Linked DNA regions of Kluyveromyces lactis. The protein of the gene in region 1 binds, or shares a complex with, the protein of each later gene. Links are inferred from orthologs where the notes say so. Each region holds a gene or a part of one and is shown on either strand. Other genes may lie near its edges. The genes, in order: DAD1, ASK1, DAM1, DAD2 and DAD4.

The links.
Region 2: DAD1 (region 1) and ASK1 share a complex: the UniProt entries of both Saccharomyces cerevisiae proteins name them as parts of the DASH complex. The link is inferred for Kluyveromyces lactis from reciprocal best matches to the Saccharomyces cerevisiae genes DAD1 and ASK1.
Region 3: the proteins of DAD1 (region 1) and DAM1 are in contact, whole or in part, in a cryo-EM structure (PDB 8Q84), measured with the Saccharomyces cerevisiae proteins. The link is inferred for Kluyveromyces lactis from reciprocal best matches to the Saccharomyces cerevisiae genes DAD1 and DAM1. Residues at the interface, in NP_010299.3 of Saccharomyces cerevisiae: Arg24, Leu28, Ile31, Asn32, Met35, Ile38, Leu39, Leu42, Leu45, Asn46, Leu49, Glu50, Ser52, Ile53, Gly56, Arg57, Phe59, Gln60, Ser63, Trp66, Lys67, Leu69, Tyr70; in NP_011628.4 of Saccharomyces cerevisiae: Ile59, Leu62, Leu63, Lys66, Ile67, Glu69, Leu70, Ser73, Thr76, Leu77, Asn80, Phe81, Arg83, Leu84, Ile87, Ser90, Leu91, Asp93, Leu94, Glu96, Ser97, Leu98, Ser100, Leu101.
Region 4: DAD1 (region 1) and DAD2 share a complex: the UniProt entries of both Saccharomyces cerevisiae proteins name them as parts of the DASH complex. The link is inferred for Kluyveromyces lactis from reciprocal best matches to the Saccharomyces cerevisiae genes DAD1 and DAD2.
Region 5: DAD1 (region 1) and DAD4 share a complex: the UniProt entries of both Saccharomyces cerevisiae proteins name them as parts of the DASH complex. The link is inferred for Kluyveromyces lactis from reciprocal best matches to the Saccharomyces cerevisiae genes DAD1 and DAD4.

What each region holds. Positions count from the first base shown.
Region 1 is NC_006038.1:608,753-611,593, reverse strand, and holds DAD1 (Dad1p), read right to left. Parts: upstream 1,220-2,841; coding exon 932-1,219; downstream 1-931. Other genes in the region: inositol polyphosphate kinase KCS1, read right to left, coding at 2,216-2,841. UniProt on the Saccharomyces cerevisiae protein: Component of the DASH complex that connects microtubules with kinetochores and couples microtubule depolymerisation to chromosome movement; it is involved in retrieving kinetochores to the spindle poles before their re-orientation on the spindle in early mitosis and allows microtubule depolymerization to pull chromosomes apart and resist detachment during anaphase.
Region 2 is NC_006039.1:1,071,745-1,074,957, reverse strand, and holds ASK1 (Ask1p), read right to left. Parts: upstream 1,496-3,213; coding exon 839-1,495; downstream 1-838. Other genes in the region: MDM35 (Mdm35p), read right to left, coding at 334-588; SFK1 (Sfk1p), read left to right, coding at 2,390-3,213. UniProt on the Saccharomyces cerevisiae protein: Component of the DASH complex that connects microtubules with kinetochores and couples microtubule depolymerisation to chromosome movement; it is involved in retrieving kinetochores to the spindle poles before their re-orientation on the spindle in early mitosis and allows microtubule depolymerization to pull chromosomes apart and resist detachment during anaphase.
Region 3 is NC_006038.1:998,973-1,002,247, reverse strand, and holds DAM1 (Dam1p), read left to right. Parts: upstream 1-1,416; coding exon 1,417-2,358; downstream 2,359-3,275. Other genes in the region: cytochrome oxidase assembly protein SHY1, read left to right, coding at 1-933; high-affinity Cu transporter CTR1, read left to right, coding at 2,997-3,275. UniProt on the Saccharomyces cerevisiae protein: Component of the DASH complex that connects microtubules with kinetochores and couples microtubule depolymerisation to chromosome movement; it is involved in retrieving kinetochores to the spindle poles before their re-orientation on the spindle in early mitosis and allows microtubule depolymerization to pull chromosomes apart and resist detachment during anaphase.
Region 4 is NC_006037.1:700,652-703,290, reverse strand, and holds DAD2 (Dad2p), read right to left. Parts: upstream 1,246-2,639; coding exon 847-1,245; downstream 1-846. Other genes in the region: NUP133 (Nup133p), read left to right, coding at 1-758; SGO1 (Sgo1p), read left to right, coding at 1,782-2,639. UniProt on the Saccharomyces cerevisiae protein: Component of the DASH complex that connects microtubules with kinetochores and couples microtubule depolymerisation to chromosome movement; it is involved in retrieving kinetochores to the spindle poles before their re-orientation on the spindle in early mitosis and allows microtubule depolymerization to pull chromosomes apart and resist detachment during anaphase.
Region 5 is NC_006039.1:1,465,292-1,467,770, forward strand, and holds DAD4 (Dad4p), read right to left. Parts: upstream 1,137-2,479; coding exon 918-1,136; downstream 1-917. Other genes in the region: snoRNP complex protein NOP10, read left to right, coding at 523-696; oxysterol-binding protein related protein OSH3, read left to right, coding at 1,692-2,479. UniProt on the Saccharomyces cerevisiae protein: Component of the DASH complex that connects microtubules with kinetochores and couples microtubule depolymerisation to chromosome movement; it is involved in retrieving kinetochores to the spindle poles before their re-orientation on the spindle in early mitosis and allows microtubule depolymerization to pull chromosomes apart and resist detachment during anaphase.

The DNA.
Region 1 (2,841 bases):
AACTCGATGTGAGAGACGAACATGCGCACACGAAACTCGATGAGAGGAAAATCAAACCCAAGTGTGGCACTGGTCCTTACCACCCCAGAAATTGCATCACACAAATACCGATCGTGATTCCGCACCCATCATATATTCTATAATAGAACCAAAGGCCTATTTAAAGACCAAACATCTGTTTTACTCCTCCAGAACTTGATCTGTTTAAACATCAAATTGCAGATTCTCTTTCTATTGAAGAAAGTTGTTTTTTGCTCAAAAGAGAAAAGTCGCGTCAAGCTGCATTGGACTTAAAGATAGAGAATATAGGATAATAACGTAGGCAGGGGGACCAGCATTACCATTGTGGGTGATAATATTCCATTTGCTCACTTCGACTGACTGATGGAAGATATTCCGTATTATTAAGAGGTTCAGCGTTACATTGTATACTTAAGAAAGAGAGGAATTTTTGAAAAAAAGAATGGTTCCTAGCGGGATCGAACCGCTGATCCCCGCGTTATTAGCACGGTGCCTTAACCAACTGGGCCAAGGAACCAACTTCTTGTTGTTGCCCAGCAAAAAGTAACGCTAAATGCCACAATCCCTTCTGTCAGTATGCACTTGTTTTCCTCGAGGGTGTTAAACATATTGCCCCATTTCCCTTCAATACAAGTATAGCTTCGGATGCAAATCAAGAGATTAGTAGAAGACGCACGAAATTTAAGCAGAAACTGATGAAAAATATGTGGCGTGTTCTTAACTTTCTTTTTATCCTGTACCAAACGGTCTACATATATATACCGTCTATAGAAGCACACTTCTAGAACAAACAACTGATGAAAAATACTTATGATGCGACACGTTGCTGTAGTTCATTGGCTGGTAAGTTTTATCTGCAAAGCTTATCAAGTTCCTCAATTTGTGCCTTTCTTGATATAAAACCAATTCTCTATTTCCCTTCAGGATTGACATCCTCCGTAATATGTTCAGAATCTGCTACTCCTACCGTCTCCATATTCTGTTCTTCAGACTCAAGCCCATTATAGAACAGTTTCCATATCTGTGATACGTTTTCAAATTCCTTCCCGACTGCTATACTATTTTCAAGGGTAATGTTTAACCCATTTAATTGATTCAAAATGGCATCCATGCTTTCGTTGATCTCTTGTAATATCAGACTTCTTTGCTCGATGAAATATTTGTCGCCTGTCGATAGCTGTTGAACCTCTTCTGTCATTGCTGCTTGCTATATGTTGGGCCCTCAGTGTATGCAAATCGGGACTCCTGTTATTTTCCGATGACCCTCGATATACAATGCATATCAGTTTACCTTTTTCGTGTATTTCCATGATCTAAATGTTTTAATAAAACTGTCCGCTTCTCATAAAGATACTAAGTCGTTGATGACAGAAACCTGGTGTATCGCTGAGAACCAACTGGCTCCAAAGCTTAGGTAATTGGAACATTTAGCAGCTCAATTAGACATTAAAATAGGCGAATATCGCGATCTGCGGTATTTGAATCTTCACTGCCAATTTACCTTCAAATATGAAATCAAGATGTTACCGGCAAGGATTATCATTGGCACATATACAGACGTTTGAAAGACATAGCAAATGTAAGAAACCACTAATTTTAAGCGAAATACTGGTAACCTGGATTAGCAAACGATCTTCATCTCACGCCAAGCTATATAATACGACTGACTGCCCTTTCACATCATATTCAGCTTACCCTACCGATGTTCTCTCGGATATAAAATGGAAAAAGTTATTGAATGCTTACTCTTTCACCATATTACATAGTTCTTGAAAGTTTCTTTAGCGTAAAAGGGCAAGTAAAAATCAACCAGTATATTTGGCTGGCCAAGGCATCTTCAACTCTTGGCTAGTCTCTCTAAGCTGGGAGAATAAATCTTATCAGTCTTGAACAATTTAAGTTCTGTTATCCGATCTTCAAAAATTATATCGATATAACCCTATCGTTGTTCAAACAAATACAAACCACAACAATCGACTCGTGTAGCCCGCAACTTTCCACCAGGTAACAATGCTAAAACCTATGACTTTTAGCCTTAGCTGCAAAGCAAAAACCGAATTATACTTACACGGTAGTTACGTACAAGCTTATATATAAATTATGCTGAAGCTGTATTGCACTAACAAGAATATGTCGTTTGGATGTAGTTGTAATTGAGAGTAAAAAAATTTGGTTCTTATTCAAATGATTGGCCTTAGTCGCTGACTTCGTCATCAGCGTATCTGGGCTCAATGTCAAAGATCAATTCATATTTCCGCCATTTTACGCGCAAAGGACTTTCCGCATTGCAGGCCTCGGCGTCATCTTCTTTATCGTATTCATCTAGCCAGTCCCAGTTGGAATTGAATTTGTCTATATTATCTTCCAAAAACTGCGTTAGCTGCTCTCCATGTTGGACCATAGCGGCGTCGTTAGTTAAAAAATTCCAAATATGAACTAGATAGAACTTCAAGGATTTTATACCTCGAAGGAATCCCTGATCCTCTCTGTTTGGGAAATGAGGTGCAATCTTAAAACGATCTAGTGACTTTTCTATATCACGATCAGTGACACACCTAGCGAAATCTATAATGTTTACCTTCACCCGAGATCGTTTGTTCTGAGGGTTGTCGCCATCGTAAAATAAGAGCAAAGATGATCCGTACAATCTGTATGATTTCAGCTTCGCGATTTCACTGTATAAAGTATCTAATTGTTGAATCAAGATAGGAATTTGCTTAACGATACTTCTTTTCGACTCGCCATCGTATAAGAATCTTGCTAACACTCTAGAAAATTGCCAACCGACTCTTACCTTTCTACCGTAATACTTATCCCTTG
Region 2 (3,213 bases), on another chromosome or scaffold:
TAGGTGATATGTTTGAATTATTATATGCAGAATTATGTAGGTGTCTCTGAAGGCTACCCCAATTAAGAGAGTTGCACAGCAGATATCACAAAGGACGAACGTTGCCCTGACTTACGGTGGAGAAAGGATTAAGGTATAATCACGTAGCGGTGGTACAACTTCAGTCGAAACTCCTGGTAATGTTAACCCTACTGTGGTCAAAAATACGCGCTAGGTATTGTATTGTATTCTCTATTTACAGAGGTTTCAAATGAAACCCATTTTAATTTATTTTATACTTAGATTCATCATAGCGAATGGCGCAGGTATGTATGCGTTTCTTTGGTCCGCAATTCAAGGCTCTACAGGTTTTCCGTCATTCTCGAATGGTGCTTCCTTACGTGCTTCATCTAGAGCTGGTTTTATGCCTTGTTTCACCAAGCTAGCTTGGACACATTCCATATATTCGTACCATTCGGTTTGGCATTCGTTTTCAATTGACTCACCTTTCAAAAATTTCTCGCTGTACCAGTCGTTAAAACATTTATCGTACTTACCCTTCAAAGGTGTACACTCTGTAGCGAAACTTGCACTCATCACGTTACCCATGGTAGTTTTGTGGCGTATCTTGTATCGTATATGAATACTCACTTAGTCTCTGCATCGCACATAATCAGAATGTCAAATTCACCATGTAGAAATCCGATTGAAAACGAAGCTATAGAAGCATGAAACTAAAAAGGAAAGTATTATATCACGTGATTGTTCGTTCAGGTCATAGGATCTGGAACCCTGAGTAACAATGTATACCTCACACACTATGATATAGAAGTGAGTGGGGGAAGGCTAAGACAGAGCTTCAATCGCGTTTGCTGTTAAAATGAATAACGGTTCCCGGCTTGGCCAATTCGCCCTGGATTTTGTTATGTGTTTCTGTCCCAGTTTCTGTTTCCGGGGGGATCGTCTTTATTGGGGAACTGTTTGCAGAGATATCATTCTCCATTGAAGAATTAGAAGATGACGACGAATTGAAATGTTGGTGAATTTGTAACGAAACTTTTCTCTTCTTCCTCTGTTTTTCCATTGCACTATCCTGAGTCAACTCATCGGTATCCTGATCTTGAAATTGATCCTGTTTTACCGATCCTCCTGTTTTCGTGGTGGGGGCACCAGCGGAACTTACTCCGGTTTGAGATAAAGCAGGGTATTGATCGACTGTATGGAACTCATCAGTTTCGTTTTCTACCTCTGGAAATAAGGAAGTCCGGGGCTCCAAAACCTGACCCGCAGATTCCACAGCCTGATCCGTCACCAACTGAACATTAGCACTCTGCTGAAACATTTCTTTCAGCCACGAACTAGAATTCGTGATATCTTCACAAGTCTGTCCATATCGCGTCACGTACGGTATTATATCCTTTGTTATCTTGTTGAAACAGTACGAGAGGTCTGAATCGATTGATTGTAAATTTAACGTGATCTCTTGATCTATTTGTTCAATATTCACTGCATCCATGATGTAAAACAGGAAACCTAGTGTTAGCTAATTGGCACAGACTAATTGCGTCCTTTTCCTTGTTTACTGTAATATTTATAACAACGGACACCGCGTCCTGTTACCTGTAACCGTCACTATTTACACTTCCAAATCCAAATCCTTTCTGTCAAACCGGTTTGTTGACTTTTTGGTCAAATTCATATTTCCTCTTGTAACTCTAAGAAGAAATTTGAAATGACATAAAGAAAGTCTCTGCAATGCCAAGGTAACTTTCTGCAGATCAACGAAGAAGCGCTAGGCTGATTCGGATGAGGCTTACGATATTTCCAAGCTGAAAGTATAAACTAAACTACATAATACGTACTGATTCAAGGACACCGGTCACGTCTGCTATTCAAGGGTATCAATGGCTTAGAAGGCTCTGCCTACTCGGAGTGGAAAATTAGATATCATCCATTACGTTATCCATCCTTGCTCTTAAGCCTCGAAACCTATTAGTAAAGCATCGAAAGAAAACCTTTTTTTTTTACTGGAGCAAATATCGCAACAAAGCGCCCAGAAATCGCGCAGGGTGTCTCAAGCTAGTGTATCATCGAGCCGATTGACAGTTACATTCAGTGAATAGCAAGTTGTAATTTAAGGCATCAGTGACAGCATCACTGCAGTGCCATACACAAGCCATGCCATATAAAAGCATATATATATAAATATGTCAAATATAGTTTATATTGTTTTTTATTCGTGGAAGTCGGGTTTTAGATATATAAGGAAAAGAATGAGTATATTATACCAGCCGAATTTGACGGGACAAGGTCAACATAGCTCATTCCTTTAAAGAATATCACTGGTAGACATTCTCATAAGGATTGGATTTGATACAGGTATAAACGTAAACCGCAAGACTATACTAATATGTTTCCACGTCCAGGTAACTACTGGTTTATCTTTCCCTGGATAGCTTTCATTCCATGGTATGGGATGCTAATTGCGATGTTGGCATGTTGGGCAGGACAAGGTCATCCCATTTATTGGTTCATGCATACAGACCAGTTCCCGGTTTATATATCCCATATTGGTGCGACCAATTTAAAACCGTTGTTTATTTCTTGTGCGGCATGGCAAGGTCTAGGATACGTAATCATGGTTGCTCTAGAGTATTTTCAAAGATCTGGTCATTGGCCTTTCAAGTTACCGTATACTTATCATGATGACTTAGAAAAATCTAACGATAGCTCTATAATGGAATCGAACTACATCGAAGCTTTAATTCAGAAGAAATATGTCATGCCTCCATTTTTTACCAAACATGAACGGAATCTAGTATGGGCCTCATTCGTACTAGGAAGTATAGGTGAATTGGCTTTGCTTATGTGCACTATCTTCTCAACAAACACGTATCCTAGGGTGCACAGTTCCATGGTGGGTATATTCTGTGCATTTGTCGGATTGAGTGTAATTTGTCATGTCGCACAATATATGACAATGGGCAGACACTACGCTGTCGTCCATCCTCTTACAAGTAGTGAAGATATCGGCAAAGACACAAGGTGGAATGAATGGCACGGCCATGTTTGGAACAAGTATACTATCAGTGGCTTACTAAAGGCATTTTGGGTAATAGCTGCTTTCGTTTGGGCTATTTGTTTTGCATGCTTAGAAGATAGATCAACGACTGCCTGTTTTGAATGGCTATTGGCATTTTGGTTCGGATTATATTTCATTATTGTCTCTGTTGA
Region 3 (3,275 bases), about 390 kb from region 1:
ATGATTGCCATGCCCGTGATCTCGTTCTACTTAGGAACCTGGCAATTAAGAAGATTGAAATGGAAAACCAATCTAATTGCTTCCTGCGAAGACAAATTAACCTACGATCCTATTCCGTTACCTAAAACGTTTACACCGGATATGTGCGAAGACTGGGAATACCGCAAGTGTACTATGACCGGTAGATTCTTGCATGATGAAGAGATTTTTGTCGGCCCCCGTGTTAGAGGAGGGATCAAGGGGTACGTTTTATATACGCCTTTCATCAGAAAGGATACGGGAGAAAGAATTTTGATTGAACGTGGTTGGATCTCGGAGGAGAAAATCGTTCCATCATCTCGTAACTTGCAACATTTGTCTTTACCTCAAGGCGATAACGTGACAATTACAGTGTTAGTGCGTGCAGCTAAAGATTTGACATCAATGCAATGGAAGAAGGAAGACAGGGAGAGTAGATTGTGGCAAGTCTTGGATATTAAGGATATGACAGAGATGACACATACTTCTCCTATTCATTACCAAGCTCTTTACGATCTGAAAGATCACCATTGGGATGAAGAATCAAAATCTGAGGGTATCGATAACAAAAACCAATCATCTTGGAAATTCTGGTCTAAAAAGAAAACCGAAACAGAACCACAACAAGAAGAATCCGAGAAACCACACGTCAACACGAAGAAAGTAAATACAGCAGATTCGGAGACAGGATTGGAATTTAACGAGTTCCAATTCGTTAAAGCGGGAGTGCCTATTGGTAAAGCACCAAAGATTGATTTGAAGAATAATCATTTACAATATTTAATTACTTGGTATGGGTTATCTCTGCTTTCATCTATCTTCCTTATCATTGCACTAAGACGTGGTCGTGGTTCCGCTATGTCACAGGATGAAATAAAGAGGCAAAAGCTAAAACATGCCAAGAAGTTCATGTGATAAAGAAACACATATTGATATTCTCAGGAATTTCTATCTCGATCCCATCATTTCCTTCAATTTTCTAGTATTCGAGATACTCAAATTCCAATAAATTATATTCAAGCAGTTAATTACTAAACACATAGTAGTATCAACCTTGTTTGTACCTGTAAATACTATTATAGCTATTTTGAATGATTTTCATTCCTGTTGATGAATACTAACTAACTATCGTTGAAATACTTGTACATCGAAAATCGAAAACGTAAATAAAGTAAAGCAAAACAAAAACACGAACAGTAAGGTGTCTCCAAGCAGACAGACGGAATGCGATAGTGTCTCTTTGGGCAACCTGGTATCTAATTTGACATCTCATAGACAGTCTGAGGTAAATTCATTACTTGTTTTTTTTTTTTTTGACCTTTCATCTTAAATTCTCAGGGCTACTTGGCACTATTCCAAACTCAACATAAAACTGCTGGATTCATCTGCTCATAAGATATGTCTCAAAGGCCAAATACTCCACAGCGGGACAGGCCAACTGAATATAGACTATCTTTGTCATCTAATGCAAGCTCAAGAAGATCTAGTTTAGGCAACAACGGTCGAGATCAGCATGCGTCAAATCAAACAATGATTGAAAAATACGTGCTCCCACAATTACAGGAACTTTCGGACTCGATGGTAACACTCGATGGTAACATGACGCACATGAATTTCATTCATGAATCGATAGCGGATTTAAATGAGGCTCTAAGCGCTTTATTATACGGATTGATGTGTAACTCTTGGTGTGTTGATTTCCCGAACATATCTCATGATACTCCGCATGAATTGAAATTAATCCAAAGACTAGAAGAGTTGAAACAAGAAAGACAAGCACTACAGGCGAAACTCAAGCCAAAGGAACTTACCAAAGGAAGCATATTACCTCTTTCAAGACAACCTTTATCACGAGGTTCTCAGATGTTGTATCGTGATGAAAATGTGCCAGGTTCTACTGCAAGCTCGAATGTTAACATTGACATTAACGATGACGAAGATAACACAGCCGCTTCGTTTGTATCCAACCCAACTACTTTCAAACCTCAAATGATATCTTCAGTAGGAGCTTCAACTGACTTTATGGGAAAACAAACGGTAGGCTCCGCGTCATCGAAACTCAGAAGAAGATCCATTCTACATCAAATACGAAACAACGCTGCAATAGGCACTATACCTAATACACTAACAGGTATTACTCCTGGAGAAAGAAAAAGATCACTAGCAGTCAGTGCAAAAAGAATTCCTATCTTGGCAGGATCATCGACTACCGCTGGCTCTGCCTCTTCTGCTAATCGTGAATCTACAAATACAGAGCCCGCTCTACCGAATAGAGTTGTAAGAACAAGACAGAGAACCTATAATCCAAAAAACCTTGCAAGCAGGCCTCCTTTCAGGTAACGAGTTATTTGATACTTCTTACCAGAGCTTTTTTCTAGATACATATTCATACCGTGTGTATATCTACCAAACAATGTAATATTACAACGTCAGTTAACAAAATGAAGAAAAAAAAATTACTGAAGGTACTCAGTAAAGATTGAAGTGCTCTATGAGGCTGCTCTTACCGCTTATCAGTGATACATGAACGTTCTCGTTTCAAGTGAAGTCTCGTTCGATTTACTTTTATTCGAGTTGAGCTTATTGAGCAAATAAAGGCCGCCCTCTTCATTTCATTCTGCAAGGAATTCTGTGAAGAAAAATGACCGAAGTTACAGAGAACATAAATCAATGAAAGAGCTAACATAAAGAATGAGATGAGAAGATTTTGAGAAGGTATTGGTTGTACATTTTAAATATAAGAAAGTGGCATATAAGTGTTTAGCCATACATCTTGATCAGTTCCATTCTAGCTGCTGACGGTTACACACCAGAAACATTGATGTTTTTTTGTTGATTTTAACTCTTTGTTCATTCACGTATTGGGAAGCGATTGACGAAGAAAAGAATAACTGCACAGTTGGCTTGGGTTAATCAAAAGAGCCACAACCGACACTATCCAAAAACCCCATCGACAGATATCAATAAAGCCTTTCAACATGAATATGCACGCAGGTGATACTACCACCTCAGCCAGTGCCATGGCCATGAGTACTAGTACTTCCAGTTCTATGTCTGGAATGGACATGGATGGTGGTTCCGAAATGACTGGAATGAACTCTTATCTCACAAGAAAATATATGAACTATCCCGTTGTCTTTGAGAAACTCTATGCTTCTGATCGCGGTGAAGCATTTGGTATCTTCTTGCTTATCGTTGTTGCTGCCTTTGTATACAAATTCTTGTTATTTGTGAGCTGGTACCTAGAATTGAAATGG
Region 4 (2,639 bases), on another chromosome or scaffold:
CAACTACAACTTTGTTGAGTATTTCTACTGGAACTCAATCGCTGGGTCAAGATTTGAAACAAAGACAGGCACAATTGAGTATTGCCAAATTAACAGCTCTTGCCGCGGAAGTTCAAGATCTTGAAAAGCTAAACGAAATTCAAACCGAATTAGATCTCATCGATGGGCAAATTCTTCTATCCCAAGAACTACAAGAATCAACTCTCAACCCACTATTCAAAGACTTTACCACCTATCGAACTTTGTTCAAATATTTGAGCGATGCTGTGAAGAGGAGAGAATCTCTCTCAGTGCCGCATATGATAGAATTATTCACACTATTAAATCAAGATACTTCTTATGGATTTGCATTGAGTATCCTTGCCATTGATCACACGTTACCCACTGAAGTAAAAAAGTACTGCGAGTACCAGATCTGGAGAAGGTGTCTCTTATCCGATGAAAATGCGGTTAGACAAACTTTAAGGGTCTTTTTCAAGCAGCAGTTCTACCATCAAAGTATCGAACTTCCAATCATCGACAACTTGGCCAATGAGAAATTGATCACTGACTCATACCTGGATGGCATGTACCATGGACTAACCGATCTTAATAAATTAGCTAGCGACGTCAAACGAGAGGTTGCTCTTTTCGCTAATTCGAATTTGGACGTTACGATGTTACAATCCATCATTGGAGAAATCAACGAGGAAACCGGTAACCAATGTGTCATCAATTACGCAACTAACACAATCGAGACAAGTCCCACATCTTTCTAATTCAATAATAGAAGAAGGTGCCACACCAATTAATTGTACATAGTATAAAACCTGTTTATACACCATATGTATATATTCAATAAAAACGTTATTCAACGTCATCTGCAACTTTCACCCGTACCAAAGTTTCCGGAAGCGGAGGTAATTGATCCTGTTGCCGCTGCTGGTTATCTTCTGAACTTTCTGACGCAGCACTTTCATCTTCAGCGCCCTGTTGGTTTCTATGTTCCTCTTTACTGGCCCATTTCCCAGTCTCATAGTCGTTTTCTGTATACTGAAGTAAAGATATCGAAGCCTGAGAGATAGACCGAAGAACCGAGTCCCAATTAGCCATTACGTCTTTAACAGTCACAGCATTGCTATTCATCTGCGCTACCTGAACGCTCAGCTCGTCCAATTGAGCCTTTAATTTCTGTGTCAATGCAGAAACATGCTTCAAATAATTCAATTCTCTTCTCTTAGTCTCGATCTCGGTTTCAAATGCCATACTGACAACTTTTTTTCAGGTGACCCAAACCTCTTACTCTTCAGCTAGAATATATCATCCAACTCGCTCCGAGAAGTGTCTATCTTAGCTGATAATTCTTGGTTCTTCTAGTCTTTGAAAGAATTCACATTGTAGAGATTAGTTCAAAGTCGTGATTTCATATTATTCCGATATTGAAATAAAGGAAGAAAACTCGAGAAAACCGACTTGTATCAGGGGAGATTGATCTATACAAGCTACGCTAAGCATTAACACCGCTATTTAGAATGAACGAAGGGTTGGATAACATCAAATTGCCCATTACATGTCCAACTTACCTCATTTGAATTAAATGTAGTACTAAATATGATCCGGGTAATCTTGTTTTTTTGTGTTTACATCGTAGAACAAAACGTAAACAATGAAAACATTCAAAGCTTTAGATCTCATTCAGCGTTTAAATAACCTGTTCATTGACTGAAAGAAGAGCGATTCCTAAGTCTATAGGGACCCGAATTGACGGCGGATAGTGTTACTAAGTTTTGTGAGAGTGCAACATGAGCGCTTCTTCGCAGTACGATGAATTTCAAGCTATGCTTGAGCAACAAAAGGGAATTTATTTACAGCAGAACAGTCAGCTTGCGAAATATAATTCCAGTCTTATGATGAAAATCACTGATATGGAGACTAAAGTGAGTGAATTGGTGCAAGAGAATGTTTCCTTACGGTCGCGGCTTTCTATGGGTGAATTGCGCTATCGTGAGAAGCTCAATACTGTTTTCCAGACGTTAGAGGACGGAATTGTAGAAAAATTCTTGCAAATGAACCAATTGTTGACCACAGTACGGGAGAGCCAGGGTTTAGAATCAGGTATTCATGATAACCCTCTTAAACCGATTTTGAGAGGCTCGAATGGTATAAGCCCGAGATCTGCGAAGAAAGTGGAGTTTACTGGTGCAAATACCACAACGAAACCAGTTGGGTTTGAGGATCCAATTGCGGAAGATAACCATGAAAATAGCGGGAATAGTCTCGAGCTGAATGATGATGAGGTACGACCTCTGAGAAAGAGGAGGCGTAAGAGTTCACGGAGAGAGTCGTTGTTCATTCCTGCAGATTTCGAGTTTAACGATGAGGACCCGGAACTAGAACTGAATCAACTGCCGATAACTGAGGATGAACCGCCGCCTAGTACTGCAGCCACCTCAGTACCTGAGGAAGAGTCTCAGGAGAACAAGCATACAAAAGAAGAGCGTGAAGACGAGGGAAAAGAGAATGTCTCTACGATACCTTTGGTACCGGTCCTTCCATCTGTTACTAACACAGGCACTGAATGTAGCAATACCAATAAAAATAATACTACAGAAATGGAAACTGCACTTGCCGAAGATGATTCTTACAATTTCACTACATCA
Region 5 (2,479 bases), on another chromosome or scaffold:
ATTTCGTTTTCGTCTTTTTTCATTTTTCCTTTGAAAGTTCCAGTTCCAGTTCCAGCTTCAGTTCCTGTCATAAAAACACTCATAGTAAGCAGGGTCCTTAACTATGTGTGGAAATGAGACCCCTTTTTTATAGGAGAGTGGCCGGGTAATACAAATAAAATACAAATAAAATACACACAGGTCACGTGAACACCCGATTACAAAAGTTTATCAATCAATCGATCATTGGAACCGATCCAGCCTCCTTCGTTTTACACGTGACTAGAAAAAGATAATCAAAACACATATCGCTACTTACGTTAGAGAATATATCATCAGATCACATGATACGAACTGGAATATTTCTTTTCCATCAAGTGCATCTGCTAAATTTTCAAAGAGATATAATCAGTTTTTCAACATAGCATTAACTAACTGATCGGTATAGCTCATCGCTTGAAAGAAAGTGTCTTGTTATCCATATATCTAGTTCCTTTTCACTTCCAACCAAAAGCATCTATCACACTCTACCCACTACCCACTATGCATTTGATGTACACTTTGGATGCCCAAGGCAAGAGAATCTATACTTTGAAGAAGATGACTGAGGATAATGAAATTACAAAGTCTGCTCACCCTGCTAGATTCTCTCCAGATGACAAATACTCCAGACAAAGAGTTACTTTGAAGAAGAGATACAACCTTTTGCCAAACTAAGGTCCCTACAAGTTGGAACACAATCCGCAGACAAAATTGCACCGGTTAAAACTCACTGAACATGAACAAAAAAAATTAATCCATTATTATCTGTAAATTAGAATCAGTACGGTCCTGAAACCGACTATAAAAAGGCGTATGTATATACGTACATACTACATCACTTAAGTAACTGCTTTTTTTTTTTAATAAATTCTTCTCGTTAGAATATATGTGAGACCTTACAATGGGTCCTGTTTCTTGGAAGTTGCCTGCAACTGGAAATCAACAGATTCTCTATAGTTCTCACACATTTGTGACATCAGTTCCAAATTCTTATTCTTGGTGTTTACCCTTCGAAGCTCTTGGTTTAGTATCACTACACTCTGGTTCAACCTTTCGACATTGCCAATGATTCTAGCCAGAATATTGCTTTGAACTTTCTCATACGGGTTTTCCATGGTATGTATCACAAATATAACTGATGACGGATAGTTATACACCAGTTTTGTAGCCTCTAGTGCCTGTGTTTTCCTTGTGGTTTACATTTTTGACCGATGTTTTGCATTTGAATACATGTTGGATGCTATTATAAACCTTTTTTTTTTTTTTTTTAAATGATGAAAATTAGTACCTGCCCCAAAGCAGCTTCTCAGTGAAAATGAATTAAAAAAAAGCTTGAGTATAATAAACTAAACCTTTAATTTGAAGTAAACAAGGATCCAAATTTCATCTATAACAGACTTCTAGTGTGCGTTTCGAGCTTTTGGCGGGCATCATATATCAATTTGGTGATAATTGCTGGTAACGGATATTGTCAGTTAAATTTCACCTGTGAATAATTACCATTCTTACTGCGTGCCTATCAGGTGTTTGTTGATCTTTTCCCCTGGTTAATCTCTCTTATTCAGAATTGATTTTTCAGCGAATAACCGACCGATAAAGGTAGATTGGAACGTCTACTTAGTTTCGAGAGTGATTCAATTGTAACTATTAAATTTTTTTCGGCATCAAACATGGATACTATTGACGTTCAAAATAAATCATTTGTTGTGCGTTGGCAGAAAGTTTCTCAAGGTGATATAGTTTCGTTTCGGTTGAAACCTTTGAAAAAATCGATAGGGTTTGGTATATACAGACGGTTTGGTGGATCATCCACGACTGATTTGAGTGAAACAAACCATGGGAGTGTAAAAGCTTCTTCGAATAGTAATACTAATCCGTTAATTCGAATTTCAACCGATGCCAAGCCTAACGTTGCCTTGGCAGATCACGAAAAGGACAAAAACGTGCCGTTGCAAACAAGGTTAGCACAAAGCGGTCTGGAAAAGGTGACCTGGTATGGGACCATTTCTAACAACGATACCGTTGCCGAATCGTTCGAATCAACTTGTGAGAGTTGTTATTACGCGTTCATTTTAGACAATACTACTTCGAAGCAGACTAAGAAAAAATGTTTATTTTCGGTGAGTATCAACCCTAGTGCATCGGCAATGGAAGGTTTGGATGACGATCAGGAATCCGTCATTTCAAACCAAGAGGAAAGCTTTGGTGCCAATGGGACGAATGGCAAGCGACCTTTGAATTATAGCCAAACGTCATTCAAGGATCCATCTTTGTCCTCATTAGCAAAATCGAATTCCAATCCATTTGCGCCATCTCCAGGCCAGACTACTCCAAGCACAATTTCCAACGTGGGTACATCTAACGGACCAAACACTAATTCTCCAGTGCCAATAAAACCACTGAGTCCAAGTTCTACATCCGCGACAGATCACGATTTGAAAAACAGTAAAGGATTCCA